Rattus norvegicus: one gene and its partners. The protein of the gene in region 3 interacts with the protein of the main gene of each other region in a pairwise test. Links are inferred from orthologs where the notes say so. Each region holds a gene or a part of one and is shown on either strand. Other genes may lie near its edges. The genes, in order: Med18, Lnx1, Homez, Mad2l1bp, Snrpb2, mrpl11 and Aen.

Region 1 (4,049 bases), on a different chromosome or scaffold from region 3:
GAGGCCCATACGGAAATGAATGAAAAGCGAAATAACAAGGCTAGATCTCAGAGACAGTCCAGTCAGCATGCACAGTACATGTATGCAGTTAGACTCAGGACGGAAGGGCAGAAGGTCCCAACTGTCCATGGCCATCCAGCCAGTTAGAGGGATGTTAGAGCCAGTCAGTCCAGGGGTCGGGGAGGTGGCTCAGTAGCTAAGAGCACTGGACCTGGGCTCAGTTTCCACCAGCACCCAAACCGTGGCTCACAATCACCCACAATTCCTTTCCAGGGAACTGGACACACTTGTCTGACCTCTGACTCACAAAGACTCATACAAATTTAAAATCCTAGGGCTGGAGAGATGGCTCAGCGGTTAAGGGTGCTGACTGCTCTTCCAGAGGTCCTGAGTTCAAATCCCAGCAACCGCATGGTGGCTCACAACCATCTGTAATGGGATCCGATGTGTCTGAAGACAGCGACAGTGTATACATAAAATAAATAAATCTTAAAAAAAAAAAGATTTAAAATCCTAAAAGAAAAATCTTAATTATATTTGAAAAAAAAAAAATAAGTTGGCCTGGGCTACGTGATACTCCTGTTTCCAAACAACAAAAACAACCTAAATCGTGTCATAGGTTATCAAGGACATAATGCTATGAGAAATAAGTCAGTCACAAAACCAGGGACCTCACTCATGTGGGGCATCTAAGTTGCCAAGGAAGGAAATACAGTGGAAAGGTAACTGTTAAGAGCTAGGAGAGGAGCTGGAGAGATGGCTCAGTGGTTAAAAGCACTGACTGCCCTTCCAGAGGTCCTGAGTTCAAATCCCAGTAACCACATGGTGGCTCACAACCATCTGTAATGGGATCCGATGCCCTCTTCTGGTGTGTCTGAAGACAGCTACAGTGTGCTTATATACATAAAATAAATAAATAAATCTTAAAAAAAATAAAAGAGCAGAAAAAAAAAAGAAAAAAATAAATAAAAGAGCTGGGAGAGAGGGAGACTCAGTATGAGTTTTAATTTTTTTTTTAATTTTATTATTTCTTTTTTAAATTTCACGTGTGGAAGTGTTTTGTCTTCCAGTTTATCTGTAAACCACCTGTGTGCCTGAATCCATGGAGACCAGAATAGGGCATCACATCAACTCCTCTGCAGCTGGAGTTACACACAGTTGTGAGCTGCCGTGAGGGTGCTGGGAATTGAACCAAGGACTTCTGTAAGGGTCTCTCCTCGCCCTGAGTTTTACTTTTTCAAGATGAAAGAGAATAAATGAAAGCCAGGTGCTGGTGGCCCACACCTGTGATGCCAGCACCTGGGAGACAGAGCAGGTGGACCTCGTAGTTCTGAGTTCCAGGCCAGCCTGGTCTACAGAGCAAGTTCTACTACAGTGAGGGTTACACGAAGAAAACCCTGCTTAGAGAAACAAAGTGAGAGTGTGTGTGTGTGTGTGTGTGTGTGTGTGTGAGAGAGAGAGAGAGAGAGAGAGAGAGAGAGAGAGAAAGAAGAGGAGAGAAGGGAGGTGGGAGGTGGGAGGGGAGGGGAGGGGAGAGGAAGGGGGAGGGAGGGAATGAATGAGAGAGAGTAAACAAGTGTAGCACACCTGTGATCACAGGCACTTGAGGCCTGACTGGTCTACAGAATGAGTTTCTGGCCACTGAGCCATCTTCCCACCCAACCTCTTCTAAACGCAATTACTGGGTGACAGGAACCGTGCAGTTGCCTTTATGTAAGTCATCTTGACTTGCTTTAACAAGAAAAGGAACGAAAACTTGGTAATGCATGCTCCGTGGCTGACTTACCCTGCAGGAGGTACTCCATCATGTTAATGGTGCCCCCAGTGACTGGCATCATGGTGACTGGAGGTGCCTCCATGATGCCTCTAATTAGGTTCAAGACGACAGAACTGCAAACAGATCTTCCAACCGGGGAAGCACGGGATACACCTGGAAGAGTCACATTTGTCCATCCACTGTTTTCTGTGGCACTGGCCTTGAAACCAAAGCTCATTCATTCATAACTTTGAATATCTGCTTATACAGCCGGTTCCAAGAACGGGTGACGCAGAAACAAGAGAGGTCTGGCCCTGGTGATCCAGAATGACCATCTAGTCTCAAGTTCTGAACCTTCTAAAAGTTTTTCTATGTCACCTTGAGGCAGCTATGCAACCTCTTGCTCCTTTAAAATAACCCCGGGGCATATAACCACACAGACCCTCCCCCACCCCCATGCGGCTCAAATGAAAGAACCGACATACATATTCAAAAAAGGTGACGTCACTTTGGTCTACGCTGAGAGGCCTCCTTTCCAAACATAAAGAAATAAAAGCCGGTCGTGTTAGGGGAACATCTGTAATCTCAACACTCGGGGACAGAGTTAGGAAGACAACTGCGGCTTCGGGCTAGACTGGTCTATATAGCAAATCCCGGCTAACTAGGGCATCACAGTGAGACTGTCTCAAAAAAACCAAAAGACCTAAGAACCTTGTCTACCCTTCGTTCTATGCAGAGGCCATGGAGACTCAGTGAGAGCACACGCCGGGATCAGACTAGAACTGGTTCTGCCTTTTTGAAAACGCCTTTACAAACGAGCCAGGCGGGAAACATGAAGTTAAAGTGACTGCACCGGTCCTCCCACTCGGGGATCCGGGACACGTGTGCACTTACACTAGCAACACGTCTCCGTTCGCGCTACAGATCCATGCAAAGCTGGACTTAAATCCACGCGTGCACACCCGCAATCCGCACCCCCAAATCCCTCCTGCACAGATCCAGAGAAACCGCCAAACATTCCCTTCAGCACTTCCGGTAGGAAGCTGACGGACAGGAAACTTCTTCGCTACCGCCCCGAAAAGTAAGGGTGCCGAGAGGGCAAGGAAGGCGCCCGCCTTCTGGCACCGGTGTGCAAGAGCGCACGCGCAGAGTGCGGGTCCGCTGCGGTGTTGGGGTCCTAGTCTAGAGTGGTACACTGGAAGGTTACTGTAGGCCTTTACGTCATAGGACAGCTCTAGGAAACGGTTTTTGATTTTTTTGTTTGTTTTTTTTTCAGCTTCGGCGACCTGGATGTTTTGATCAGATCTCTTGAAACTGATTGGATACAATATTTAAATTTTGAACTCAGCCACTGGGGGGAGCGAGGAGGGAAAGAGTCGCAGTGAAAAAGATCAGAAGGGCAGGGGGGTGGGGTGGGGGCTGGCAGTGAGCGGGATGTAAAGTAAGTTAAAAATTAAATTAAATTTAAAAAAAGAAGGGAAGTATGTTTCAAATCGGAAACGCTAAGCACAGCGTTGTGTATTTATAGACCCCAGCAGGAACAATATTTTCTTGTGTGCTTTCAAGGGTCTGGAGAAACAGCTCAGTGCTAGAGCCTTGCCTGGTATGTGCAAGGCCATAAGTTTAATACAGAACAACAGCAAACTCGTTCGATTTTCCATGCATACCCACAACTTTAAATACGTGGGACCAGGCACAGTCCGAATCTGAGAACCTCAGGAGGCTGCGGTAAGGATCTCTCCAGCAGAGCCATTCAACACTTAAACAATATTTTGAGGGTTTTTTTCCAAAAATTAATTAATTAGGGCTAGAGAGATGGCTGAGCAGTTAAGAGCCCTTGCTGCTCTTGCAGAGGTCCCCAATCCCTACATGGTGGCTAACAATCATTTATAATTCCCCTTCCAGGAGATCTGTTACCTCTTCTGACCACATCACTCACTGCATCCCTGTGGTACACATACATACACCCTTGCAAAACACTCGTAACACAAAATATAAAATAACTAGGGGGCCGGGGAGATGGCTCAGCAGTTAAGAGCACTTGCTGTTCCTCAGAGGACTTGGGTTCAGTCCCTAACACCCATATCAGGTGTCTCACAACTACCTGTAACTCTAGTTCCATGGGAACCGACACCCTCATGTGGCATCCATGGGCATCTATACAGGACATATACGGTGTACATACATTTAGGCACACATATACATTAGATAGATAGGTAGTAGGTAGATAGATAGATCGATACATAGATAGAAGGTTGATTGATAGATTGATTGGTAGATAATTAGATAGAAG
Region 2 (4,212 bases), on a different chromosome or scaffold from region 3:
GATGCAATGATTCAAGGTCACTGACAGGTTCAACATATTCTACTTGGGGGCTGGAGAGATGGTTCAGTGGTTAAGAGCACTGACTGCTCTTCCAGAGGTCCTGAGTTCAAATCCCAGCAACCATATGGTAGCTCACAACCATCTGTAATGAGATCTGAAGCCCTTTTCTGCTGTGGGCTAATATATAATAAATAGATCAATCTTTAAAAAAATCTCTACTTAAATGTGTGGATCTTATCCAAAGGACCCACGAGCCTTCCCCCTCCACAGAATGGTACAGGTTGCAAATTATCTGTCACCTCTCACACTGGCTTGGCCAAGTGCTCATGGAGTCTGAGGTGGAAGATGTTTACCTACAAGATTAGAGGGGACCAAGTACCCAAGGCCACTCAGGGTAGTAGCATGATTAAAACAGTCTGGGCTCCCTGCCCTCCAAACAACGATGACCTCTCCTGACAGCCTTTAAGAACTCACACTTTGTGGATGTGTCAAGAGATCACAAGAAGGAAGAGAGACCACTCCAGAGTTTGCTTCACCAAGGGCCAAGGGGGCTGGCAGGCACACGCTGCCTGGCTCAGGGAATGACAGCCCGTTCATTCTCCTCCCTCTGGACTGTTGTGTTTCTCCAAACTGTTAGCAGTGGGGTTAATTACTGACAATTAATTACAGTAATAAGAGCCGGGTCCTGAACCATTGCAGCCACAGGAGAGCTACATGGGCTCACACAAGTCCTCTAAGCTCCCAGGAAATTTCTTCCAGCAGAGAGGAACTTGTCTTTTATTTGTCCCTGACTCCAAGCTCACCTATACTCAGAGAACCACATTATAGCACATGGTACTTATCTCTCGTCCTACTGAGAAAGGAATGGCGGTTCAGAGAAGTCCAGTAATTTGCTAAGGAAATACATATTGTTTCCTTTAGCACTTTGTATACACCCAAATTAGTGGAGATGTCACAGCAACTTCTCAAGGACACATGCACGTTATCCAACGAGCTGCCTCGACCCCTATGCTAGACACTGGGACTCTGGTTTCTGTCCCCTTTTTTCTCTTTCTTGAATTGGGGGGGGGATTTTATATATATACATATATAATATATATTATATATAATATTTTTCTAAGCAGTTAGAGACAATGACAAAATAGTTTGTTATTTAATCATAGGTCCATTGTTGTAAAAATGACTAATTAACCAGGTATAAAAGAGGGGTGTGTGTGAAAGTTTGCAGAGGTTTGGAACATCAAGGACAAATTTACACCTACAAAACTCCAGGCTATGAGGAATCTTTTTCTCACTTTGCTCACAAACCTCTGAATCAACCGAGAATGTTACTAAGGCATCAACAACAGTTACTCTGCAAACACAGGAGCTTAGAGGACAATATAAGGCACAAAGGTCAACTAGAGAAGAGACTATGAGCTTCCCAAGAATCAGAAAGAAACTGGCAACAAGCAGGAGGCAGATGCTTACCAGGAAGAAAGAAGCAGCCGTTCAAGGGCGATACTTTTTAGTTGTTTCCGTTCATACACTCTTGGACAGTTGGCAGGTTCTTTTAACTTCTAGAGGGCTGTATATGGGCTTAACTCCTAGTAGATGATTTCCTTACAAAGCCATCTGCTAACTTAACTAATGCAACTAACGAAGGCCTATGAAATGAAAAGACTCGTTCATTTATTTCTCTCCCCGAGTTTCCCAGATAAGTTGATAAGGAGATGGACTGGGGATTTATTCCTCTGCTCTTGTTAATCATATTAGCTGGTGGGGGTGCCTGCCCATTGAGAACAGGTTACACGATCAGGATTAGAAAAACGAATATGGGTCCTTGAGGTACAATTACTTTTATAGTCAGGTCCTGGCAGAACAGTCTCCTCCATATATTTACTATATTAAGAGCAAGGTAGAAACAACAGAAGAGTTTCAAACCCAGACCTGGGGCTACATTCTTGTGGCCTTGAAGGGTAATCTTTACTTTAACCAAAGGTCAGCAGGCAGCCTGTCGGGCCTGAAAGTAGGTAAACAGAGTTCTAATCCAGACTGCTAAATGTTTTCCACAAGTAAAGGAAACTGAAGGCTTTTGAGAGAGAGAGAGAGAGAGAGAGAGAGAGAGAGAGAGAGAGAGAGAGAACTTATAAACAGGGAGCCAGAATTTATCAGCTTTAGTACTGACTTTCTGTTGTAAACAACAACAAAACCTAGGGAAGTATTACAGCTTTTCAGATGAGATGAATGCAGAAGGCAAGAAAAAAAAAAGACAATCTGAATTTTGTGAGTGTCCCCAGCACCCCCACCCCCACCACACACACACACACACACACACAAAACAGGCTGGACTGGTCTGCACATTTGAACTAACTTTCAAAGAGCATCTCATCTCACTTTTCTCTGGGGTTTTAAAAAGAATCAAATCAACTTCACAACAAGCAGAGGCTGGATTAGTAATCAGGAAACAAAAATGATTAAATATCTGGCCGAGACAACACTGCTGGTCACAAATAAGACTGTTACAGACATCTTTACTCTCAGAGTGTTACTCTGGACTGAGCCATTCAGTGAGCTCGCTCTCTCTCTCTCTCTCTCTCTCTCTCTCTCTTTCTTTTTCTTTTTTCTTTTGTAATTTTCATTCAGATTCCTCATTTAGATCCCTTCTGGGTCAGGGGTCTAAAAACCAAGAGAGGAAAAAATAGTTCCTGCTCACCTGTTCAAAGATGTCTGGGGCTTTCAAAGCAGCAGTCACCAGCCCGCCTCCATCCCTGTGCCAGAAGCTTCTAGGGCTGCCTGAGCTGTGACTGGTCTCAACTTCGGTGTACAGGTGGCTGGAGGAAGAAGGAGGGCATTGGTTGGCTCAGAACAGGAAATCTGTGACATCACGGAAGTCTGGCTGAGACTTTAGGGACTAAAACAGCCCAGGAGGCCCCGCCCCCTGTCAATTACCTGAATACCTTGGAGCAGGTAGGTGGCGTCTCTCAGAGGACAAATGAATCAGTTAGAGCAATTTGCTGGTCGGAATTTACTTTCCTTCCTGAGCAGAGCACGTGTCTAGCCCCGTGTACAGATCTGAATGGGTATGCCTGACTGTTTCCCAGGCCCTTTTCGTCTGCCTGATATTCTTTCCGAGGGCTCTCACAGGCCCACACAGCTGCCAACACCAGAATTAAAAGGGAAGTTTAAACACAGGGATTTTTGTAGGTGCAAAAAAAGAAAAAGGTTGAGAAGACTTAGCTATATCTGGGATTTACCCCCCTAATGCCTTTCTGAATCGCATCCCTTTGAGTTCCTAGTGTTTTTTTTTTTCTGTTCCAATATTATAACAAAACTGGAGGTGACATGACAAGCCTTAAAAATCTAAGTTCGATGCCTGTCAGCATCATTTCCCAAACTCCCTCGCAGTCCCCAGTGTATTATATTAATAATAGATTTGGCCATTGGTAAAACTTCAGTCATTCCTACCTCTCGGTCTGTCTGTCACCTGGTGGTTACAGTCCACAGTAGGCCTGCAATTAGGGGTACTTTAAATGATTCAGGTTAGAATGATAGCGCCTTACTAAGGCGCTGTTGTCTGCTGTGAGAGCTAGGGAAGAGGAGTCAGAGTTATTTTGGTCCCAAGCTTGGTGTGTGACCCTGGATAAGTCACGCTTGCTTCAGCTTTTCCAGCAGGAAAGAGAGGCTAATGGCAGGACTCAGCTGGCACTTGAGTGACAGCTAAGAGGATTCCTGCCTGCTGGTTAAGGCCTATGGCATCTTGTCCCATCAGCCTGTTGAATTGCTGTGCGCCTGTGGCCCGCAGCCAGCCTCCCTCGCAGACTTATTCACTCTCCGGAATGTGCTACCTGAGGACACTGGGGAGTTCTCTCTCCTAGGTTGGTCCAGCCACACTTTTGTCCCTTAAGGAAGAAAACACCTGCTGAAAAACACCTTCCCCCTTCTGATCTCAAAACTGTAAGCTTTACCTGTTCTAATACCTTGCCACTTAGCAGTGGTTTGTGAGCTGGACCGGGGTGGGGGGTGGGGGTGGGGCAGTTGAAGAAAGAAATAGAAAAAAACACCTCATCCCTGAGTGTCCACATTGGTAGCTGGCTCCCTGTCGGTCACTCAGTACCTTGTAAAGCAAATGGGGAGGGAAGAAGAAGGAAGATGAATCTAGTGCAGGAGGCAACTTCCAAACACTGGCTCGCCCCAGGCAGGCCTAAGCAGCCTCTCCATCTGGGACCGAGC
Region 3 (4,221 bases):
TTGGGTTAAAGGCATGGACTAGGGCTGAACCACACCACAACTAGAAACAGATTTTTTTTTCCCCAGTAAACAACACAATGTTGGGATTCACAGTGTGATCAGAAATCCTGCAACACCAGGACCACCAGTCCAGGGATGGCACCATCTGCATGGGCTGGGTCCCCTCCATCGATCACTAATTAAGAAAATGCCTTATAGGCTTGTACTTTTGGAAGCATTTTCTTTCCTCTTTTCCTCCCTCTTTCTTTCCTTCACTCTATTTATTTCCTTCTTTCTATTTGTTTTGTTTTTTGAGAAGGGGTTTCTCTGTGTAATCCTGGCTATCCTGGAACTCACTCTGTAGACCAGGCTAGCTTCCAACTTAGAGATCCACCTGCCTCTGCCTCCCAAGTGCCAGGATCAAAGGTGTACACCTGACATGGAGGCATTTTCTTAATTGAGGTTACGTCCTCTCAGATGACTTTAGCCAGTGTCAAGGTGATGTCTTTATGACGCTATGTAACATAGTACCTTTACCCGCTGAGCTGTCCTCCCAACCCTAATGGAGTCTTGGATCATGTAAACGTTGGGTGAGAAAGAGGTACAGAGGGTTTGGCAACCCTGACCCAAGACACTCCAATCAGATCCTTTTACCATTTTGGACAGTGGGAAAGTCTGGAGGGCCAAGCTCTAGCTGCCTGGCACCCAGCACGAGCTGTGTGGTTAAAGGGACCAGCTTGGGAGAAGCTAATTTCCTCTTAGGTCGGGATGCTTCATCTACTAATGGAATCAGCCACAGGGTAATGAGAACAGCAGACCTGATAGGGAAGCCCTAGTTTGTAGTGTAATTCTAAGTAAAACCATTGTCTAGGGTAAACATTAGCATGGAATGGTTTTCATTGTATCTCTGATAAATAATAGAATGAATAGTTCTTTTCTAGAAGGACGTAGACCTGGAAGGAATTATTGTGGAAAATGGCGGTTGTTTCCTGTGATTGATAGAGTTGTATTACTGAAGGAGCTTCATGGCATTTCCATGACTTTGGTCACAGCTCCAGGCACACCTGGAGTGCTGTGCTTTATTGGGTACTGGAGACAGCGTACAATAAACATGAAGTCACAGAGGTGTGATGTCTCCTTCCCTAAACATAGGTCAGGTCAGGGGCTTTGTTATGAGGAACCAGTTTCACCCAAACACTAACTTCTCTGTAACAATCAGTAAATACGCCTTTGTACAGTTGTTCAAGATTCAGTCTGCAGTGGCTGGCTCTCCCTGGGGCCAGCAAGGCCTTACCACATCCTTGAGTGGCCTGCTTTCTTCCATCATGAGACTCAGAACACCGACACTGGTTGGAGCACAGTCACTGGCCTCCTCATTACGTCATAATAGTCGAGCTGTGATGTCATTGCACAGCACCCACTCAGTACGTTTTGAAAGCGAAGTACATATGTGAAGGAAGAGTCAGCATGAGGACTAGACACCCAGAGAGAGGTAGGTGGAGGCTGGGCAGGGCTTCCGTGGCCCTAGCCTCTTTCCCAACTTGGACATCTTAGTTTGATGGTGGGTTGATCTGAACTCTTTCTTTTTTTTTTTTTTTTTTTTTTGGTTCTTTTTTTTCGGAGCTGGGGATCGAACCCAGGGCCTTGCGCTTCCTAGGCAAGCGCTCTACCACTGAGCTAAATCCCCAACCCCTGAACTCTTTCTTTCACAGAGAGCTTTAATGTAGCTTTTCCTGTTTCAAATCCATCCCAGATTCCCAACACCTGCACTGGTGACCATTCAGCCTTAGAGCTCCCCTGACCTCTGGCATTTCTTAGGAGAGGAGACACCAAACACTGGACGAAACCGAACATGGTCATTTGGTTACACAGTCGAGTAAAACTTCTGTATCCTAAAGTATACAACTTTTAAGAAGAAAATACAAATTTTATTTTTTAAGATTTATTTATTTGTTTACTTATTTACTTATTATCTGTAAGTACACTGTAGCTGTCTTCAGACACACCAGAAGAGGGCGTCAGATCTCATTACAGATGGTTGTGAGCCACCATGTGGTTGCTGGGATTTGAACTCAAGAACTTTGGTAGAGCAGTCAGTGCTCCTAACCACTGAGCCATCTCTGCAGCCCGAAAATACAAATTTTAAATACAAGATTGGGCATAAAGTGAACGTTTAAGGACTGGGGAAATGCAAATCAGTTACAGTTTTTAAAAAGCTGATGAAAGGGGGTCAGTGGTAGAGCGCTTGCCTAGGAAGCGCAAGGCCTTGGGTTCGGTCCCCAACTCCGGAAAAAAAAGAACCAAAAAAAAAAAAAAAAGAGAGAGCTGAGGTGGAGAGCTATCAAGGAAGATTTGGCATCAATCTAAAACACTCGTGAACCCCCACATACATGCACGCTACCAAAAAAAAAAAAAAGCTGATGAAAAATTACCTACCTGGCAAACAATTTTTTTTCCATGTGTTTGGATACCAAAAAAAATCAGATTGAACTTTTTTGTTTTTGTTGTTTGTTTGATGGGAGGTCTTACTATATAGCCCCAGCTGTCCTGGAACTCACTATGTAGACCAGGCTGTCTTCAAACTCACAGAGATCCACTTACCTCTGCCTCCTGAGCGATGGGATTAAGGGTATGCACCACCATACCTGGCTTATTTGTGTGTGTTCAAGACCCACACATAGAGACAGAGGGCAACTTTTTGGGATGGCGTCCCTCTTCCAGGGTGTGGTTCCCCTAGAATGAAACCTAGGTCAGCAGGCCAGGCAGCAGGCGCCTGCACCCATCGCGCTGTACCCACCCTGCTGCACTGACAGCCTTTTCATAGAACAGGTAACTAATACTTACTGCAAAGAATAAGGTTCTGAACCATGGTGGCACACGTCTCTAATCCAGCACGGGGGAGGCAGAGGTAGTTGGATCTTTCAGTTAGAGGCCAGCCTGCTCTTCAGTGAGTTCCAGCACAGCTAAGGTAACAGAAAAACCCTGTATGGAAAAACAAACAAGAAAGGATTTCAGTTTTCTAGCATACTGTTAATTTTCAGGTTATGGTAATTTTAAAAGAATTACACATTGTGACTTGTGGAGTATCCACCAGAGAAGACTGCCCGGACACGGGTTTTAGCCAATAGGAAGTCTATGAGTCAGCTGGTGACAATACTGGGTACTCAGGGTCCCAATAGAGCTCTGATCCTTTCTCAGAGTGAGCTTTTAAGCACAAAAACCATGTCTTCAGTTAACAACAGAAGTGGAACTAACAAGCTAACAAGCAAGGTTAGTATATCTTGAGACTTTCCCAGAACTCTCATCAGCTTCGATGGATTGGGCCTTTGTTTTTGTTTAGCAGGAGGCTATCTCCGTGCTGAGTCTTACAGCCTAAATGGTATTTCCATCATGGAGTCAGTTGTGGCAAGGTCTGGGGCCTGTTACAGTGATTATGTTATAAAAAAATTTCAGGGGGTTGGGGATTTAGCTCAGTGGTAGAGCACTTGCCTAGCAATCGCAAGGCCCTGGGTTCAGTCCCCAGCTCTGGAAAAAAAAAAAAAAATTTCAGACCAAGCATAATAGCTCACACTGGTAATTCTAGCCCTCAGGAGGCCAATGGAGAAGAATTGCCTGGAGGCAAGGTTAGCCTAGCAGGTGAATGAACCTTGGCTACTATTGAGAATGTGTCTTAAAAGACAGACAGCATTTTTTCCAAACTCGGAAAAATGGACCATTTCTTTCATATTTGGTGTAAGGTATTAGACTAGGGATGGCAGAACAAAATGGCGGAAAGGAAGCATCTTGTACCTTTTTTTTTTTTTAAAGATTTATTTATTTATTATATATAAGTACACTGTAGCTGTCTTCAGACATACCAGAAAAGGGCATCCAATCTCATTACAGGTGGTTGTGAGCCACCATGTGGTTACTGGGATTTGAACTCAGGACCTCTGGAAGAGCAGTCAGTGCTCTTAACCGCTGAGCCATCTCTCCAGCCCCACCTTTTTTTTTTAAACATTTATTTATTATGTATACATCATACAGCGTTCTGCCTGCATGTATGCAACTACAGGCCAGAATCAGGGCACCAGACATGATTACTGATGGTTGTGAGCCACCATGTGGTTGCTGGGAATTGAACTCAGGACCTCTGGAAGAGCAGACAGTGCTCTTAACCGCTGAGCCATCTCTCCAGCCAAGCGCTCTACCACTGAGCTAAATCCCCAACCCCTATTTTTTTTTCTTTTCATGTAATTAGTT
Region 4 (4,105 bases), on a different chromosome or scaffold from region 3:
TTCGGTCCTCACTCCAAAAAAAAAAAAAAAAGTCTGGAGAGATGGTTCAGTAAAAGCATTTGTTCTGCAAACACAAAGATCTGAGTTTAAATCCTCAAGACCCAGTCACATCCAGCACTGTGTGGCGGAGACATCCCGAGAGCTTGTGGGCCAGCCAGCCTAAGTGTTGAGCTTCTGATTCAGTGAGACCCTGTCTCAGGCAATGAGGTGGAAAACAGTACCTAGCACCATCACCACCCCTGCACCCACAAATGCACGCACCCATGAATGCACGCACCCACGAATGCACAAACCCACTCACTCAATTACACACAGTTACTAGTACCTGCTCCCTCCTAAAATACTGTGTACAGAAATTCAGTAAGGGAAGGAGGAAATAATACAGGATATAGGCCAGAAGGCAAGAAGCTTGAGAAGAGTCCACACTGCAGAACCCTAGGCAGTAGAGACACTGCAGAAGGCATAGGGGCAGTACTGAACACAAACCTGTGTGAGGAATTCTCAAGGGACAGTTTCTCTCTCTCTCTCTCTCTCTCTCTCTCTCTCTCTCTCTCCCTTGTTAAGACAGGGTCTCCCTGTGTACCTCAGCTGTCCTGGAACTGCCAGTGAAGACCAGGATGGTCTAGAACTCAGAGAGAGGTCTGTCTGCCTGCCTCTCTCTCGACTGCTGGGGTTAGAGCACCACACCTGGCCCTCGGTGAGTTCTCCAAGGAGATCTCCTTATGGTATAATTACCTTATAAGGCTCAGGCATCAGACAACAGTTTATTCTATTTACCAGATAGTAAAACATTCCAACATAAAACAACCAACCACGAAAGCCGAAAGACACAAAGGAAAAGGCTTGTAGGAGACACTTGGAGGAGCAAGAGGAAAGTGGGAAGGATCCTTAAAAAAAAAAAAAAAAATAGAATTTCATGGTCCTGAAGGGCATGATAGCTATAATCCCAGCCCCAGGGCTGAGGTGGGAGGAATACTGAAAATCACAAGCTAATCGGACCAGGAGATGGCTCATGCACGCGGGAGGCAGAGGCAGGTCGATCTGTCTCTGAGTTTGAGGCCAGCCTGGTTTATATAGAGTGAGCTCCAGGACAATGAAGGTAACACAAAAAAACCCTGTCTTAATAGAAGAAGGAGAGGAGAGCGAAAGGGAGGGGAGGGGGAGGGGAGGGGGAGAGGAGATGGGAGGGGGAGAGGAGATGGGAGGGGGAGAGGAGATGGGAGAGGAGATGGGAGGGGGAGGGGAGGGGGAGGGAAGGGGAGGGGAGGGGGAGAAGAGAAGAAGAAAGGAGAGGAGGAGGAGGAAGGAAAGAAAGAGAAGATGAAGAAAATCATTAGAATCTGAAACCTAGAAATTCTTCCAAAACACACTAAAACAAAACCAGAAAGAGAGGTAAAATGTGGTAAGAAAAAGAACTTCAAATGTAAAGAGCTGGTTCAGGTCTGGGGATGTAGCTCAGTAACATAGCATTGTAGCATGTGAGAGGCCTTGGAGAAGGGAGGGGAGAGGGAGAAGCTAGAGGGAAGGAGGTGGAGATATGGAGAGGGACAGGGAGAGGGAAAAAAGGAGGGAGGTTGGGAGAGAGGGAAAGAGAGACAAAAAGAGGCAGACGGAGACCATCTAGTCTAAGGAAAGGCCAGATGTGGTGAAGCACACTTGTGACCTCAGAAGTCACTGGGGAAGTTGAGGTAGCCAGGTTTCAGAGACCAGCCTAAACTACATAGTGAAATCCTATTCCCGATAAAAAATTAAAGAACAAATCCATAATATCCGTATACACCACATAATAGGAAGAATCTCAGAAAAAGAACAAGAGGGGTTGGGGATTTAGCTCAGTGGTAGAGCGCTTGCCTAGGAAGCGCAAGGCCCTGGGTTCGGTCCCCAGCTCCGGAAAAAAAAAAAAGAAAAAAGAAAAAGAACAAGCGAAAAAAGTGAGAGACCCAGAGACCCAAGTGCAGAGAAAATGAGGCAAGGAAGCCTTTGCAAAAGCCTAGACTTCCACGGAGGCTGAGACGTCTTAGGTCACTTTTCTAGTTGCCCACCATCTAAGGGCCCATAAGTCTTCCGAATTTTCTCAGGAAGCCTGTACATACCTGGGGAGAAGATTTCTGGTAGAAGTGCTTCAGCTGTTCATAGGGCAAAGGGAGCTGTTGGCGTTGGTACATGATATGCTTTAGAAGTTCACAAGTGAACTGGCAGCAGCCTTCCTGGCTCACGGGTCCAGGAAACACCACCGGTACCAGGTCTCTTGGGCAAAAGGGCTCCACAGAATTGGAAGGTTCCTGGACTGGCGGGATGACGGTCTCAAGATCTACCCCGGGTGCACGAGTTTCTTCCGGTTTCTCAGTCCAATCCAAATCTAGTCCATAAATGAAAAAGGTAAAGAAAGGAGGGGCGATGTCACAATAAGCGTTAGGTTTCTTGTTCCCAGGGGCTCAGTCAGCAGACACTCCCATAAGTGACAGGAAACCTGATCCGGGCTGGGGGCGATTTAAATGACATCAGGGCCAGAAGAGGGACTTTAGGGAGGCTTTGCTCCGAGTTGGGGCCAGGACACCCAAAGGAACAGAACAGAAGAAAAATTCCACCCAGGGCAACTCGCAGAGACAGGGAGGACTGGGACACCGGGAACCACTGGGATAGGAAGGAACGCCGGAGGAAATGTCAACCACTAAATGTCTCTGGGGAGGTAGCAGCAGGGAAGAAGCGAGCTCCCAAGTAATGGATCCCACGTCTTACTTGGGGCAGCAGCAGGGGACAGCTCCGACCGATCCTCCTGCCCGGATGCGGCCATCGTGACTGCCAGCTTAGTAGTCCTGCAGTTAAAATAGACGCCGCGCAAAGGATCATGGGAAGCTTAAACTCCACTTCCGGCTCCTAGCAGCCGGAAGGGACTCAGCACGGCCGCTGAATGGTGAAGCTTGGACTGAGAAGACTTGAGCCACACCCAGGCCAGGGAGCGCTTGGCTCATCCCTCTAGGGCTGGGTCTGCCTTTCTAAGGACGCATCCATTCACTCCAGTTCCCTGAACACCTCACTCTCCCGGCGTCTGCTTCATTCCAGGGCCCTGTCCTAGGTGCTGGAGACGCAGCCGCTGTCAAGCCACTCTCCAGCCCTGTTCTTAAGAGGTTCATGCCTGGCCTGGGGCACCTGATCCAAAGCGGGTAGGGCGGGGTTAGGTGCCCGAAAGGGTGGTTTCCGGAATGTATGTACTGTGACTGGGTAAAAAGGATAATCCTAGTGAGATCTTGAGAGATACACTCTCTTTTCAAAGACTCAAAGAAGTTTATACTGAGAATGCTAGGCTGACTCCGTGGGAGAATTCAAATAGGCAGTTCAGGAGAGTATGCCTAAGAACCGGGCAGGTTCAAGCAAGTCAATTACTAGGGGGAAAAAAAATCCCCGACTTAAGGCAGCTGGTCAAAATTGCCCTGCCATCAGAAGCTGCCCGGCCACCTAGTCAGCAGCAGTTTCCAGACTTCTTAGCAACAGGTTCCACACTTCCCCAGCAATAGTTTCCAGACCCCCAGACCCCAGCCCCAGCCCCAGCAATGGTTCAGGAATGTCCTTAGAGATAGAGCTGAGATTAAGTGAGCGAGATAGAGGTCACTTACCCCTCCCCGGAATTCCCCTAAGATGCTTTAAATCCACCTGTGAGCTCCCTTCGGGTCTTTCTATCTCGGTAATGGGAGACCCCAGCAGAAAAAAACCCACTTTGTGTTTACATACTATTTGAGGCCAGGGTATAATTCTTCGGCGAATCATGGACCCTTACAATACTATAAAGAGTTAAGGGGGCTGGGGATTTAGCTCAGTGGTAGAGCGCTTGCCTAGCAAGCACAAGGCCCTGGGTTCGGTCCCCAGCTCCGAAAAAAAAAAAAAGAAAAAAGAAAAAAAAAAGAGTTAAGGTTTTTAGATGGGCAGTGGTGGTGCACACCTTTAATCCCAGCACTCAGGAGGAGGCAGAGGCAGGCAGATTTCTGAGTTCGAGGCCTTCCTGAATCATTAAGGTGGGAGTAGATAAACAGAATCAAGGTCATGACAGGACTTCCTAAGTGATGAAGTTTCAACTTGATCTCATGTAGGGGGATGGGTAAACTTTTTC
Region 5 (3,500 bases), on a different chromosome or scaffold from region 3:
CCTATAAATTGTACATAATCTCTTCATCATGAGTGTCCTACTCAGAGCTTCTTTGACCAATTACAGGGGCAACATTTGTGATCTCTAGTAAAAGTAACAGTATAAAACAAGAGTAGTTACTTCTGGATTAAAAATGATCAATTTGACTCTGTATAATGTCAGTTATAATGTTGTTTTTAAAAAGCAAGACTGTTCCTTTTGTCCTTCATTATTTTTTATTTTATTTTATTTTTGAGACTCCTAGATGGAGTCTGCCCTCAGATGTAACCCTCACAGCACACTTGGTCTCTGCATCATTGACAGTTTAAACATGAAAGCAGGGTGTGGTATTGGCACACCTTTAATCCCAGTTCTCAGGAGGAAGGGGCAGGTAGCCTGGTCTACACAGTGAATTCCAGGACAGCTGAGCTACATAGCGAGACTGTCTCAAAAAGAAATTCAAGTGTTAAGTTTTATAATGTGGTCTGTGGAGTTGAGGGATAAGAATAACATTTCAGGAATAACTAACAAACTAAATACTTAAGACATAAGATCTTAAACTGAAATGGAGTAAGATCTTTACAGTTATTTTTATGTTGTTTATGTTATATTTATGTTATAAATAGCACTTGCTTTTTTAGCAGGACTGAAATTTAACCATTTCTTAATCTCAATATCTTTTTTGTAGGGAACACCAAATTCAGCTAATACTCAAGGAAATGCAGCACCAAATCCTCAGGTAATGTTTTCCTCCATAGAGTGTTTGCCTTATAATAAAAATTACTGCTATTTAAAATAGTGTACAAGTCTTCAAAAACAAGTAATTCATTTGCAAGGCATAATTGCTTGTCATTTTAAGAAACTCGCTCTTCAAATCATGTAAGTTTCCTAAGACAAGCAAACAAAACCTGGCCTGACCACTTGTTTCCCATGACTCGGTGACAAGGCAGAAAGTGTGAGAGCTGAGTGATTGAAGGCACATGACAGAGTACTCGTGAGGCCTGTTTCCATCCAGGTCCTGATGCACTGCCCTGTCTTTTTCAGATTCACGTTGGGCAGCGGTGGTTGCCTCCTCTTCCCCAATTCAGCCTCATTTTTATATTTCCTGTTCTGACATGACCCACACCTCTGTATCACCAAGAAAGTTAGAATATTAGAGTTATATGCTTTTAATTTTTTTTCTCTCCTTTGTTGCTGGAGATTGAACCCCTGGCCTAGACTAGACAAGTGCTGTACTACTGAGCTGCCCACCACCCTTCAGCCCTACTGAGACAGTCTTGATATACTCTCAAAACTCTCAGTCCTCCTGTCTTAACTTCCTGAGTGCTGGGATTACAGATATTATCGCTATACCTGATCCTGTGCTTTTTCTTATGATCTTTCTTTCTAGTCTTTGAACTCTTAGAACTTGTAGTCAGTTCATAAATACCAGCACTTGATTCTCTGTCTTTACTTGTTCACTAATTGCTTTTTATACTTGGTCTTTCCCTCCATGATACTACCAAGTAGCCAAGGTATCTTCTTATGTATAAATCCTTTATATACTCCCTGTAGTTTCAGGTTGGGGTATCAAGGACATGACTTAGTATCTAGTATTCTGCTTGTTTCTGTTTGTTTTAGATAAGTAGATGCAACTCATACCATTTACTGTGTGTGTGTGTGTACACATGAACTCACTAACTCACACACACATACACATCAACACACAGAGTAAATATCAGCAGGTTGTGGTTCTCAGTAGTAACACTAGTTGTAAATTATCTCCTGTTCTGATAGTAATCAGTGGTGCCCAGGACTCACACCCCGTAGTGTGAGCTAAGTAGAGTGACTAGCTAAAGAGCCTGATGTGGCTGCCTTTCCTAGTTTTTCAATTCTCTATTCCAGGTGACAGAATTCTCCAGTCATGACTGACCCACGGGTGTTTCATCTATAAATAGTTTTCCCAGAATCATAACCTTCCAGATTTGGGGTGTCCTGGCTTCCATGCTGGCCTCAACTGTTGTTAAGTTTCTAGCCGTCATTGTTCTCAGCTTTCTTCCGTTGTGTTCAGATTTCGTTGTGTTCATTGTGAGCTTCAGTGGCGTTCTCTGCAGATGAGGTTTTCATGTTTCTTAAACCAAATACCTTGCAGTACAGATTTTTCCCAGGTTAACTTGGTCTTTTGTTTTAATAGGTCCCTGATTACCCTCCAAACTATATCCTGTTCCTTAATAACTTACCAGAAGAGACGAATGAGATGATGTTATCCATGTTGTTCAACCAGTAAGTTATTGTTGTTGTTGTTGTTGTTTTAAACCAAACATCTGTTCATAGGAGCCTCCTAACAGGACAACTAGCACTTCTCTACATTGAGGTCATTTGTCACTCCACAACAGTCGTTCTCTGCAGGGTCATCGATTTAGTCTGGGATTAGTCATGGATTGAAGCCAGTCTCAGGCTTAGAATCTAAAGAGCTAGCTGTCCTCTGTTGGAATTATTCTCATGGATAAAATGGGAAACAAACCTTTAACAAGACAGAAGTAGAATTTGTGGAATTAGCATGTACTCATGGAATCCCTCCATGGTAAACTTTTATGTCAAATGCCTCTATCCTACTTGGGATTCCTGGTTGCATGTGATTGTTTTTCCTAGACCAGAGTGGGAAGTTACTCAACAAGTTTACGTATGCATTTGCCTGTGTTTATTGCTTTTGTTTTTCCTAGGTTCCCTGGTTTCAAGGAAGTTCGCCTGGTCCCGGGGAGACATGATATTGCGTTTGTAGAATTTGAAAATGATGGGCAGGCTGGAGCAGCCAGAGATGCTCTGCAAGGGTTTAAGATCACACCATCCCATGCCATGAAGATTACCTATGCCAAGAAGTAACACGGGGAGTGCCAGTTTTAAAGGACTTGGTATTATTTATAGCTTTTGTTTTAATTATATTCAGTCAAGTTGTTTGAAATGGTTGGAAGTGAAGGTGAAGTTTTGGAAAAAGAGTCACCTAATTTTTTTTTAGTTTTGGTGAACTATGAAATACAAAGCCTTAATTTTGTACAATAAACTTTTATTTGTATTCTGTTTACTGGTCTATTGTCCTACCATGAAGCACTTATTTTCCTACACATTTGAAAGTATGTAAACCCCCAGAGTGGGGGTTTAGGTCACTTTGGAGCAGCTAATGATACAGACGTTGAAGGGAACAGATTACAGCACCCAGTGAGCAGCATGTTAGTAAAATGATCACCCCGCTGTGAGTACACAGCACAGTTGCTTCCTGTGTCCAGGGCACAGTGGACCGTACAGTATTAGTGGCCATGTGATAATAACTGCTTACTGTTGTCTAGAAAAACAAGAAATGGGATTGCTGCCTGCAGTGTGACATTTACTTTTTCCCTTCTTAAAGGTTAATATCTAGTCTCAATTCTGGATGACTTTCAGTCAAGGGTCCCAGGGTTGGTACTGTCTGCGTATAATTCCAGCATTGTGGAGGCAGAGGCAGGAGGATTACTGCAAATTTAAGACCAGTGTTAGCTGTTTACATG
Region 6 (4,052 bases), on a different chromosome or scaffold from region 3:
GAAACTATAAATCGGGTTGCCATGGAGTCCTTTGGCTCAGCTTCCTCGGTGGGCCCCCTTCTCAGTCTCTCACTTCAGAGTGTAGAAGGTTGGGGTCACTTTTTGGCAGCTTCTGCCTGAGCTGCCAAATCCGCCTCTTTCTGAGCAGCCAAAAACACGGCCCGTTCCTTCTGAAAAGCTGCCAGTTCGTCTACACTGAGGCTACAGGAAGAGCGATGGTCAGTGAGGGGCGGAGCCTGGCGCAGACCCCAGCTGCCCTGCCCACGTCCCTCCCTGGACTTTCCAACTTTCTTACCTTTGCTCATCTGCAGTTTCTCTGCCTGGAACCACAACCCACATACACTACCATCCTCTACTGTGGCTCCTATTTTAAAGACCTACGGAACCTGTGGCCTCTACTATACCTTTAGGATTCCCAGCCCTTCCTCTGAGCCACAAACACTTCAAGTGAGAGAGTCACAGAGCTGCATACTTTAAGGCAGACTGTGCTCTAACCTCACCCCTGAGGTACAACTGATGCCAGCCTTGCTGTAGGGAAAGACACCAGCAGCAAGCAACCAGTGATGACTGACCCAGTTCCTGCCTCTGCTGTGCTCTGGGCCAAATGCTCTCCTACTTGACAAGTTACTTCAAGGAAACGATTCCTGAGATCATCCAAAGCCAGCTGACTTGTGTGGTTGTTGGCTCAAAAGACCCTTCTGTCTGGTCCCTCCCTCAGGCCATATCCCATCTGCCTCTCTAGACGAGACTCCTAAACCACAACGAACTTAGCTTCAACACCTTATCTCTCATTGTTCCCTGCAATTTTTCCACCTTTTGGAACATTTGCTCTCCTACCCTCCTTTTCCTGGGCTGTTTTGATGTTACCTCCCTCAGAGTCATCAATGACACAAGGGAAAAGCAGGAACTCTCCTCTCTGCTCTCATGACATCCACTGGTTTTATAACTGACCACCTGTTAGCCTAAGCCTCTATGTATGGATCTGTCTCTATTTAGGACTACATATTTCTCCAGAGTGGCCGAGCACCACTGTTCATTCCTGGTTCTGTGCGGTGTCCAGAGCCATGTCTACTACAGAAGAGATACTCATCCAAACGAGATGAGGCTCCATATCCTTCTGCTAGAGTCTGCTAGAAAGCTAGACATGTATGAAAATGTCACAACGAAGTTAATATGCTTAACTAATATATGCTATAAATTTAAAAAAAAAACCTGACTTTTTCATTGCAATAGGCTTTCTCCCAAATCAAGAACTTTCTTGGTTTCCTTTGTACACCATTCCTCTCAAGATACTCACTCTTTCACCACACGAATGCCCAGGGAGCGGGCAGAGCCAATGATGGAACGGACAATAGAAGACAGGGGTACATCTTGCATGGCAAAAGCCTCATCCTTAGCTTTGACACGGGCAATCTCGTATACGTGCTTCAAACTCACCAGACCTGCCACCTCTTTCCCTGGGAAGAAGGAACAGGTCGTCATTCTTCTAGTGCCACTATTTCTCTGGATACATCAGAATCTCAGGTGCCCCCTGTAGCCCTTACCTGTTTGCCGGGCCCCCTTCTCAATCCCAGCAGCTGCCTTCAAAAAGTAGGAAATAGTGGGCTGCCCAATCTTGAGCTCAAATGTTCTGTCGGGCTTAACAGAAAAAGATACATGAGAATTTCTTGGTTTTCTATCTGGTCCAAGACATTTCTAATGTCCCTTAACTTCCCATCAACTTGCATTCCTGCGGTGTTGTCTTTAACACCAGAGAAGGCAGGATGGGCAGATCTACAGTCCACATCCCTGTCATTTTTATTCCTAGCACAATTCTCCTCTGGAACCCCTGTGAGATGAGAGGTCAGAATCACAATATGGCAGGATCAAGCCAGTTCAGAGAAATTATGGTCTAGGCTTCTGTGTAAATGAGAAGTGGAAGTTGGCAACCAAGTTAGGGACAGAGAAGCAACCGGGATGACTAGTTTCAAGTGCCAAGGAAGTATATGGGAGAATTCGTCTCTGTACCTTTATAAAAATTTTTGTAGGCAAGGGAATGCCTTCTTTGATGTCCTTTGTTTTTTCATTGAACTCTTTGCAGAACTGGTTGATAGAGACACCTCGCTATGAGGAAAGCATATACAAAGTTAAGTGTGAGGGGTTGGGGATTTAGCTCAGTGGTAGAGCGCTTGCCTAGCCTAGCAAGCGCAAGGCCCTGGGTTCGGTCCTCAGCTCCGGAAACAAAACAACAAAACAACAAAACAAAACAAAACAAAACAAAACAAGACAAAAAAAAAAAAAAAAAAACAAAGTTAAGTGTGGGAGCTGAAGGCTTCCTATCAACCAGGAGCTCCAGTCCCCCCGTCCCCGCCATCTTCATTTTTTTTGTGTTCCGATATTTCTTCTACCCAGGTTCAACTACGGCTTTGGGTGCCAGGCGATTCGTCCACAAGGTGCCACTTAATCAGCAAGTAGCCAACTTGATGGTCAAAAGAGGCTACGTAAGTAATACAAGAACCTAAGGCCTGAAGGTGTGAATAGCGGAGACAGGTTTATAAAGGAGACCTCCCGGGCTCCAGAGCACTCTCCCACGTCTCCCAAGCCGGCTTCCAGACACCGCACCTGACCCAAAATGGGACCTAATGGAGGCCCAGGGATAGCTTGGCCTGCTCGCACGATGGACCGGATCACGCCGCCGGCCTCGGGCTTCTTGAGGGTCCGAGTGACCCGGCTTAGCTTCGACATGATATAGGATTTTAACCTTAGTCCGCCTCGGAGAAGTCAAGAACTACGATCTGAGCGCTGTCATTTTGGGTCAGAGGTCAAGGGCCCTCGTGTTGGGCTAGGGTAAATGTGGCCAAAAAAGAACAGTCTTGTTTCAGGCATACAGCTCTTCGACTGAAAAACGAGTTACGGAATTTAAAAATGAATTGAACTTTGCGCTCTGAAGTCAGGACAAGAACATATATGGTTTCAGTATACACATTCCTTCAGCAGTGCCCACAGGCATCGCCTTAGACAGCCAAACAGGAGATCAGGACTTTGAGTCTCCGCACAGCATTGTAGGTATTGTAGTATTGTAGTTTTAGCTCTTTATCCTGCGCTTGCTGTTGACTGAGCTCTGGGTTGCCATCTGCTGGACACAGTGATATCTTAGTGTTTGAAATGGAGCAAGTTATTCAAAGGAGTCCCTTGAGTCTTTTGTTTCGTGTGTGTGTGTGTGTGTGTGTGTGTGTGTGTGTGTGTGTGTGTGTGTGTGTGTGTGTGTGTGTGTGTGTGTGTGTGTGTGTGTGTGTGTGTGTGTGTGTGTGTGTGTGTGTGTGTTTTTCATGAAAGGCAATATGATTATAGACGGAAACGAAACGTAGACTGCTGCTCTAGCTATGAACCTGATTTATAGCTAGACAAAAAGTTAGGGCTAGGGTTAGGTTACTGTTTCTGTTAGCTATTTCATGTTGGGCACCACGGATACTATAGGTACCTTTCAGAATCATTGTGACAGCTCAGTAACACACGTTGCTTTAGAACAATACTTGCACCAAGAAGGCATTTACCACTATTTGTACAAAGGGAAGAAATTTTCCCGGCACTTTTGAAACGCAGTCTCTGAACCCTCATTCCAGTCAGACCTAATTTCCCACTAGCTTCTTAGGCATACTTTATCGCTTCCCTTTCTTTCCTTCTTTCTTTCCTTCTTTTTTTTTTAATTTTTTTTATTTATTCATTTATTATATATATAAGTACACTGTAGCTGTCTTCAGATACACCAGAAGAGGGCATCAGATCTCTTTACAGATGGTTGTGAGCCACCATGTGGTTGCTGGGAATTGAACTCATGACCTCTGGAAGAGCAGTCGGGTGCTCTTAACCGCTGAGCCATCTCTCCAGCCCCTCTTTCCTTCTTTCTTTCTTTCTTTCTTTCTTTCTCTCTCTCTTTCTTTTTATTGGAAGCAGATGATTTCATTACTTGCTTTCTAGGGAATGGCATTTGAATCAAGTGGTGTTTGTAGTCTTTGTTCTCACTCCCTTGTGTAGTTAGGCACTTTGGGACATGCATGCAGAAACATGTACAT
Region 7 (4,156 bases), on a different chromosome or scaffold from region 3:
TGGGTCTTTATAAACTCTTGTGCCCAAGTCTGTCTACTTCTCCCTCCCTTACAAACACACACACACACACACCCTTCTGCCTTTTCCTCAGCAAAGCTTACTCTTTCCTACGCCAGACGCCAGCTACCCTTGGGCCAGAGCACCTCCACGTGGACTCACTGCTGTTCCCAAACCACACCCCTCCAACGCCTTCAGACACAGTTCTGTATCACGGAATGCTGTTCTGAAACCCCTGGATCTCCCCAACGTTACAAAGAGGTTCCCTGGGGTCCCAACTGTGCCAGGTGCTGGACAGTTACAAAGATGGATCCCGGGCCGGGAAGCTTGGTTGGACCAGACACAGAAATGCGGCAGACAGTGCGCTGAGAGCCGGCTAGCCATACAAGGAGGAAAAGAAGGCAAAGAGCTGCAGATGATCCCAGAAGTCACTTCCGAGTAAATGGGGAGCAGTAACCCTACAGGGAAGAGGGAGTGGGCAATGGAAACACCAGGGACAAAGGCCTGACTAGTCTCATGCTGGGGCAGAGGGGCCAGCAGCAACTTGAAGTCACCAGTTATAACTGTCTGGTGGGTTACCACCTCACCTTCTGCCATTGACTTGAGCGGTCCTTCCACAAGCCACCCTTACCCATACTGGTGTCTTCAGCCTAGTGTCTGCTGGTGAAGTGAGGGAGGCCCAAGGCACCAAGGTGGGCCAGTAAAATGTGGACCAAGCAGCACTGATCCAGGCTATTAACTGTCTATGAGGAGAATAAAGAAGGTCATCCTGCATACTGCAGTACATTGGATTTTGCCCTCCTCAGACAACAGGCAGCTTTCCTCAGAGTCCCCTCAAGTCAGCAAGCTGCAGAGCCCCCACTGTGTTTGCTGTCCCTCTCTCATGGCTTCAGAAGCCCAAGCTGGGCCTCCCAGTGGCAGGCCTGGAGGGTACTACAGAGCTCGAAGTCCTCCAAACCACGGATCAACAGGAAGGGAACTTGAGAACCTGGGCAGTCACCGGGAAGAGACCTTGAGTTAAGGAGAGCCGGGAAGCCCAGGGTGGGAAGAGTATTCAGAAAAGAGAAACCTGACAAGCACAGACCTAAGAGCCAGGGAGAGTAGGCAAAGAACTTGGTGCAGCCTGTAAACACCTAGGGAGCAGGGGGTGTACTGAGTCACTGGAGGACTCCAGGGGACATCGTGGTTACCTCATCAGAGGATGAGGTCAGACTAGGAGCCCAAGATGTGACATTTGCATATGCTTGGCCCAGGAAGTGGCACTACCAGGAGGTGTGGCCTCATTGGAGGAAGTGTGTCACTGTGGGCGTGGGCCTTAAGACTTTCATCCTAGCTGCCTGGAAGACAGCCTTCTGTCTGCCTTCAGATGAAGGTGTAGAGTTCTCAGCAACTCCAGTCGCACACCTGCCTGGATGCTGCCATGTTCCCATGTTGATGATAATGGACTAAACCTCTGAACCTGTAAGCCAGCCCCAATTAATTAAATGTTGTCCTGATAAGAGCTGCCTTGGTCGTGGTGTCTGCTCACAGCAGTAGAACCCTAAGACACAGGGTGGAGTAGCAGTAGCAGCGGGGAGGAAAGAACAGTCTGTGTTTGCTGATGCCAGCATGTGCACTAGGAGTAATGGTCCACTTAGCCAGGGGGAGGCTCAGTGACCCATGCTGACACAACTGCTCTCGGCTTGCTCATCTGCTCTCTGAATAGTACCCTGTCTTTTAAGAGGTTGTCAGCAACTTCCTCATTTCCACAAACCACATCTCAGAACTGACAAAAATTCAGAAACTCAATTTGCCTTAGTCCAGCAAAGGGAGAAAACCTGGCCTAGAAGACCTGTGCTAGCCCTGCTGATCACGGACTTCCGGTTGGGGGCAGGAGGATGGACTCTCCTACCCCCTGCTGGCAAGGTTTGAAAGAAGCTAAAATTAGGTTCCCCGGAGTAGAGGTCTCCGTATTTTTGCATTTGTTTGAAAAGATAAAGGCAGTCATTTCCTATAGTCCCTGAACCTGTGGACGTGCCAGAACTAACAATTATCACGGGAACGCACTTCCACAGCCCAAAGCCCTGAATGACACTCACTCAGTTTAGCTGGAGAGAAGTATTCAGAGGACACAGCTCTTTTAGCAAAGCCACGTACAGATATTCCACATCATAACTCTCTCTGGCCAGTATGGAAGGCACTTGGCCTTCATGTGAAGGTCCCTGACCCAAGAGGACTCCAGATGAGAAGGTTCCCAAAAAACTGCAAGGCCAGAATCGTCACTGGCATAAGGGTCCCACCTGCCATGCTGGTAGACCCGACCTCCGTCAGTGGGCCCGTCTAGACACTGTTCTGGCACGAAATAACCTGATGACATCAGAAAGTCACTGTCCCTTAACCATCAACCGCCCTAGGTAGAAGGCAAAGTTTTGGGACAGGACCCGAGACCCCACCCTCAAGTCACGATTGTGAAGACCCCAGTTTGAGAAAGGCTGGCGCAATAAGGTCCCCAATGCTACCCAAAAGCTTACCTGACCAGTTTTTTGTTTGTTTGTTTGTTTTTTAAGTATGAGGGCAGGCCGCAATCCTCACAGCTGAGGCGTGCAGTGGACGCTCAATGTCCACGCGGTCCCCTGATGCCCACCGGCTCCAAGTTGGGAAAGACCGCGTGAGGCCGCGTTCCGGCCTGGCTGCACACCACCCGGTCCCGAGAGCCACGTGAGGCTGGCGACAGGAACCCGCAGCCCGGGGCTCCCTGTGGCGGTCCCCTAGCTCACCTGAAGACCGGGCCGCACTTTGCGGCTTTCACGTGGAAGCCTTGACGGCAGCAGTAGTTGCTTGCCCGGACATGCCCGGCTTCGGCTGCCTGTCTATTGGTTCGCTGGGCCGTAGGGCCCGCCTAAGGCCTCCTCGGATTGGCTGATCCTGCTCCTCCTGGAGTAGGCGTGCCAGTCAGAAGGGGTGGGGCTACCGTAGGAGGAGCGCGTGGTCTGCGCCGGGAGAGGGCAATGTTTAGGAGGTTAGTAAAAAACTGAATGGAACGTCTGGTTTCTGACCTGACGCCTAGTGAACGTCAAACTTCAAAGACTTAAAGTCACAAGGTGCACACCCAAATCTGCCTAGGGTGAACTGCAGCCTCTCCAGTCTCGGAGTTCTGAGAACCGGGTGAAATAATACAGTATTCTTTAAACTTGAAAAAAAAAATCAGGTTTGCTTTTTCTGCATTGCTTTTTCAATATTTATTTAATTTGTGTTTTTTTATTTTTTGTTTTGTTTTTCGAGACATGATCTCCTGTAGCCCAGGCTGTCTCATTTTCCTTCTTTTTTCCAGTATCAAGTTCGTATTTTCTGTATAGTTGTGAATGAACTTCTGATCCTCTTGCCTCTGACATCCTAAATACTGGTATTACAGCATTTTGCCACCACACCCATATTAAGTATTCCTTTGCATATTTTATTCATATACTCATTTCCCTATGAAAAGTTTTTAAAAGGGGGATGGGAGAGTTGCCTCGGAAGTAAAAAGGTGCTTGCTCGGTAAACCCGATGACCTGAATTTGATCCCTGGACCTTCTTAGAAAGCTGATTAAAGTGCACACCTTTAATCCCAGCACTCAGGAGGCAGAGGCAGGTGGATCTCTGAGTTCCAGACCAGCCTGGTCTACAGAGCAAGTTCCAAGACAGCCAAAGCTACGCAGAGAAGAAAGGAAGGGAGAGGAAGAGGGGGAGGGGAAGAGACAGAGTACTCCTACAGTGCTACAGTGAGATGGTAATGGAGACAGAAAAATTAACCGAAGCTCTCTGGCTAGCTAGGGTAGGCAGAAACGAGATACCCCAAACAACAAGAAACTCCCTGAAGTTGTCCTCTAACATGCACGGGCATGCATACTCACCCACCCACACCCACCCCAGTCCCTACACCTACACACACACACACACACACACACACACACACACACTCACTCACACACAAAATAGGTTTTTTTTTAAATAAATTTAAAAAGGAAAAGCTAGAGGAGCTCATAGACCCCAGAATCAAATCTACTACTGTTTTGCTAAACTGACAGTATCAAACTGCCCTTAAAATTTGTATAATCGGGCTAAGATCAAAAACTCAGGTGACAGCAGATGCTGGCGAGGATGTGGAGAAAGAGGAACACTCCTCCATTGTTGGTGGGAT

What was found.
Region 1: the proteins of Homez (region 3) and Med18 interact in binary tests that used the Homo sapiens proteins (3 or more experiments, as listed by UniProt). The two-hybrid records come from large-scale screens. The link is inferred for Rattus norvegicus from reciprocal best matches to the Homo sapiens genes HOMEZ and MED18.
Region 2: the proteins of Homez (region 3) and Lnx1 interact in binary tests that used the Homo sapiens proteins (3 or more experiments, as listed by UniProt). The link is inferred for Rattus norvegicus from reciprocal best matches to the Homo sapiens genes HOMEZ and LNX1.
Region 4: the proteins of Homez (region 3) and Mad2l1bp interact in binary tests that used the Homo sapiens proteins (3 or more experiments, as listed by UniProt). The two-hybrid records come from large-scale screens. The link is inferred for Rattus norvegicus from reciprocal best matches to the Homo sapiens genes HOMEZ and MAD2L1BP.
Region 5: the proteins of Homez (region 3) and Snrpb2 interact in binary tests that used the Homo sapiens proteins (3 or more experiments, as listed by UniProt). The two-hybrid records come from large-scale screens. The link is inferred for Rattus norvegicus from reciprocal best matches to the Homo sapiens genes HOMEZ and SNRPB2.
Region 6: the proteins of Homez (region 3) and mrpl11 interact in binary tests that used the Homo sapiens proteins (3 or more experiments, as listed by UniProt). The two-hybrid records come from large-scale screens. The link is inferred for Rattus norvegicus from reciprocal best matches to the Homo sapiens genes HOMEZ and MRPL11.
Region 7: the proteins of Homez (region 3) and Aen interact in binary tests that used the Homo sapiens proteins (3 or more experiments, as listed by UniProt). The two-hybrid records come from large-scale screens. The link is inferred for Rattus norvegicus from reciprocal best matches to the Homo sapiens genes HOMEZ and AEN.

What each region holds. Positions count from the first base shown.
Region 1 is NC_086023.1:149,949,873-149,953,921, forward strand, and holds the start of Med18 (mediator of RNA polymerase II transcription subunit 18), read right to left. Parts: upstream 2,801-4,049; 5' UTR 2,651-2,800; intron 1,931-2,650; 5' UTR 1,860-1,930; coding exon 1,787-1,859; intron 1-1,786. UniProt on the Homo sapiens protein: Component of the Mediator complex, a coactivator involved in the regulated transcription of nearly all RNA polymerase II-dependent genes.
Region 2 is NC_086032.1:33,867,159-33,871,370, reverse strand, and holds the start of Lnx1 (E3 ubiquitin-protein ligase LNX), read right to left. Parts: upstream 2,801-4,212; 5' UTR 2,696-2,800; intron 1-2,695.
Region 3 is NC_086033.1:32,306,675-32,310,895, reverse strand, and holds the start of Homez (homeobox and leucine zipper protein Homez), read left to right. Parts: upstream 1-1,421; 5' UTR 1,422-1,446; coding exon 1,447-1,471; intron 1,472-4,221. UniProt on the Homo sapiens protein: May function as a transcriptional regulator.
Region 4 is NC_086027.1:22,328,394-22,332,498, reverse strand, and holds the start of Mad2l1bp (MAD2L1-binding protein), read right to left. Parts: upstream 2,801-4,105; 5' UTR 2,795-2,800; coding exon 2,740-2,794; intron 2,360-2,739; coding exon 2,094-2,359; intron 1-2,093. UniProt on the Homo sapiens protein: May function to silence the spindle checkpoint and allow mitosis to proceed through anaphase by binding MAD2L1 after it has become dissociated from the MAD2L1-CDC20 complex.
Region 5 is NC_086021.1:150,859,334-150,862,833, forward strand, and holds the end of Snrpb2 (U2 small nuclear ribonucleoprotein B''), read left to right. Parts: intron 1-667; coding exon 668-718; intron 719-2,152; coding exon 2,153-2,241; intron 2,242-2,681; coding exon 2,682-2,841; 3' UTR 2,842-3,029; downstream 3,030-3,500. UniProt on the Homo sapiens protein: Involved in pre-mRNA splicing as component of the spliceosome. Associated with sn-RNP U2, where it contributes to the binding of stem loop IV of U2 snRNA.
Region 6 is NC_086019.1:211,692,555-211,696,606, reverse strand, and holds the start of mrpl11 (large ribosomal subunit protein uL11m), read right to left. Parts: upstream 2,801-4,052; 5' UTR 2,725-2,800; coding exon 2,602-2,724; intron 2,104-2,601; coding exon 2,008-2,103; intron 1,639-2,007; coding exon 1,545-1,638; intron 1,458-1,544; coding exon 1,298-1,457; intron 202-1,297; coding exon 96-201; 3' UTR 1-95.
Region 7 is NC_086019.1:142,223,177-142,227,332, reverse strand, and holds the start of Aen (apoptosis-enhancing nuclease), read right to left. Parts: upstream 2,801-4,156; 5' UTR 2,508-2,800; intron 1-2,507. UniProt on the Homo sapiens protein: Exonuclease with activity against single- and double-stranded DNA and RNA. Mediates p53-induced apoptosis.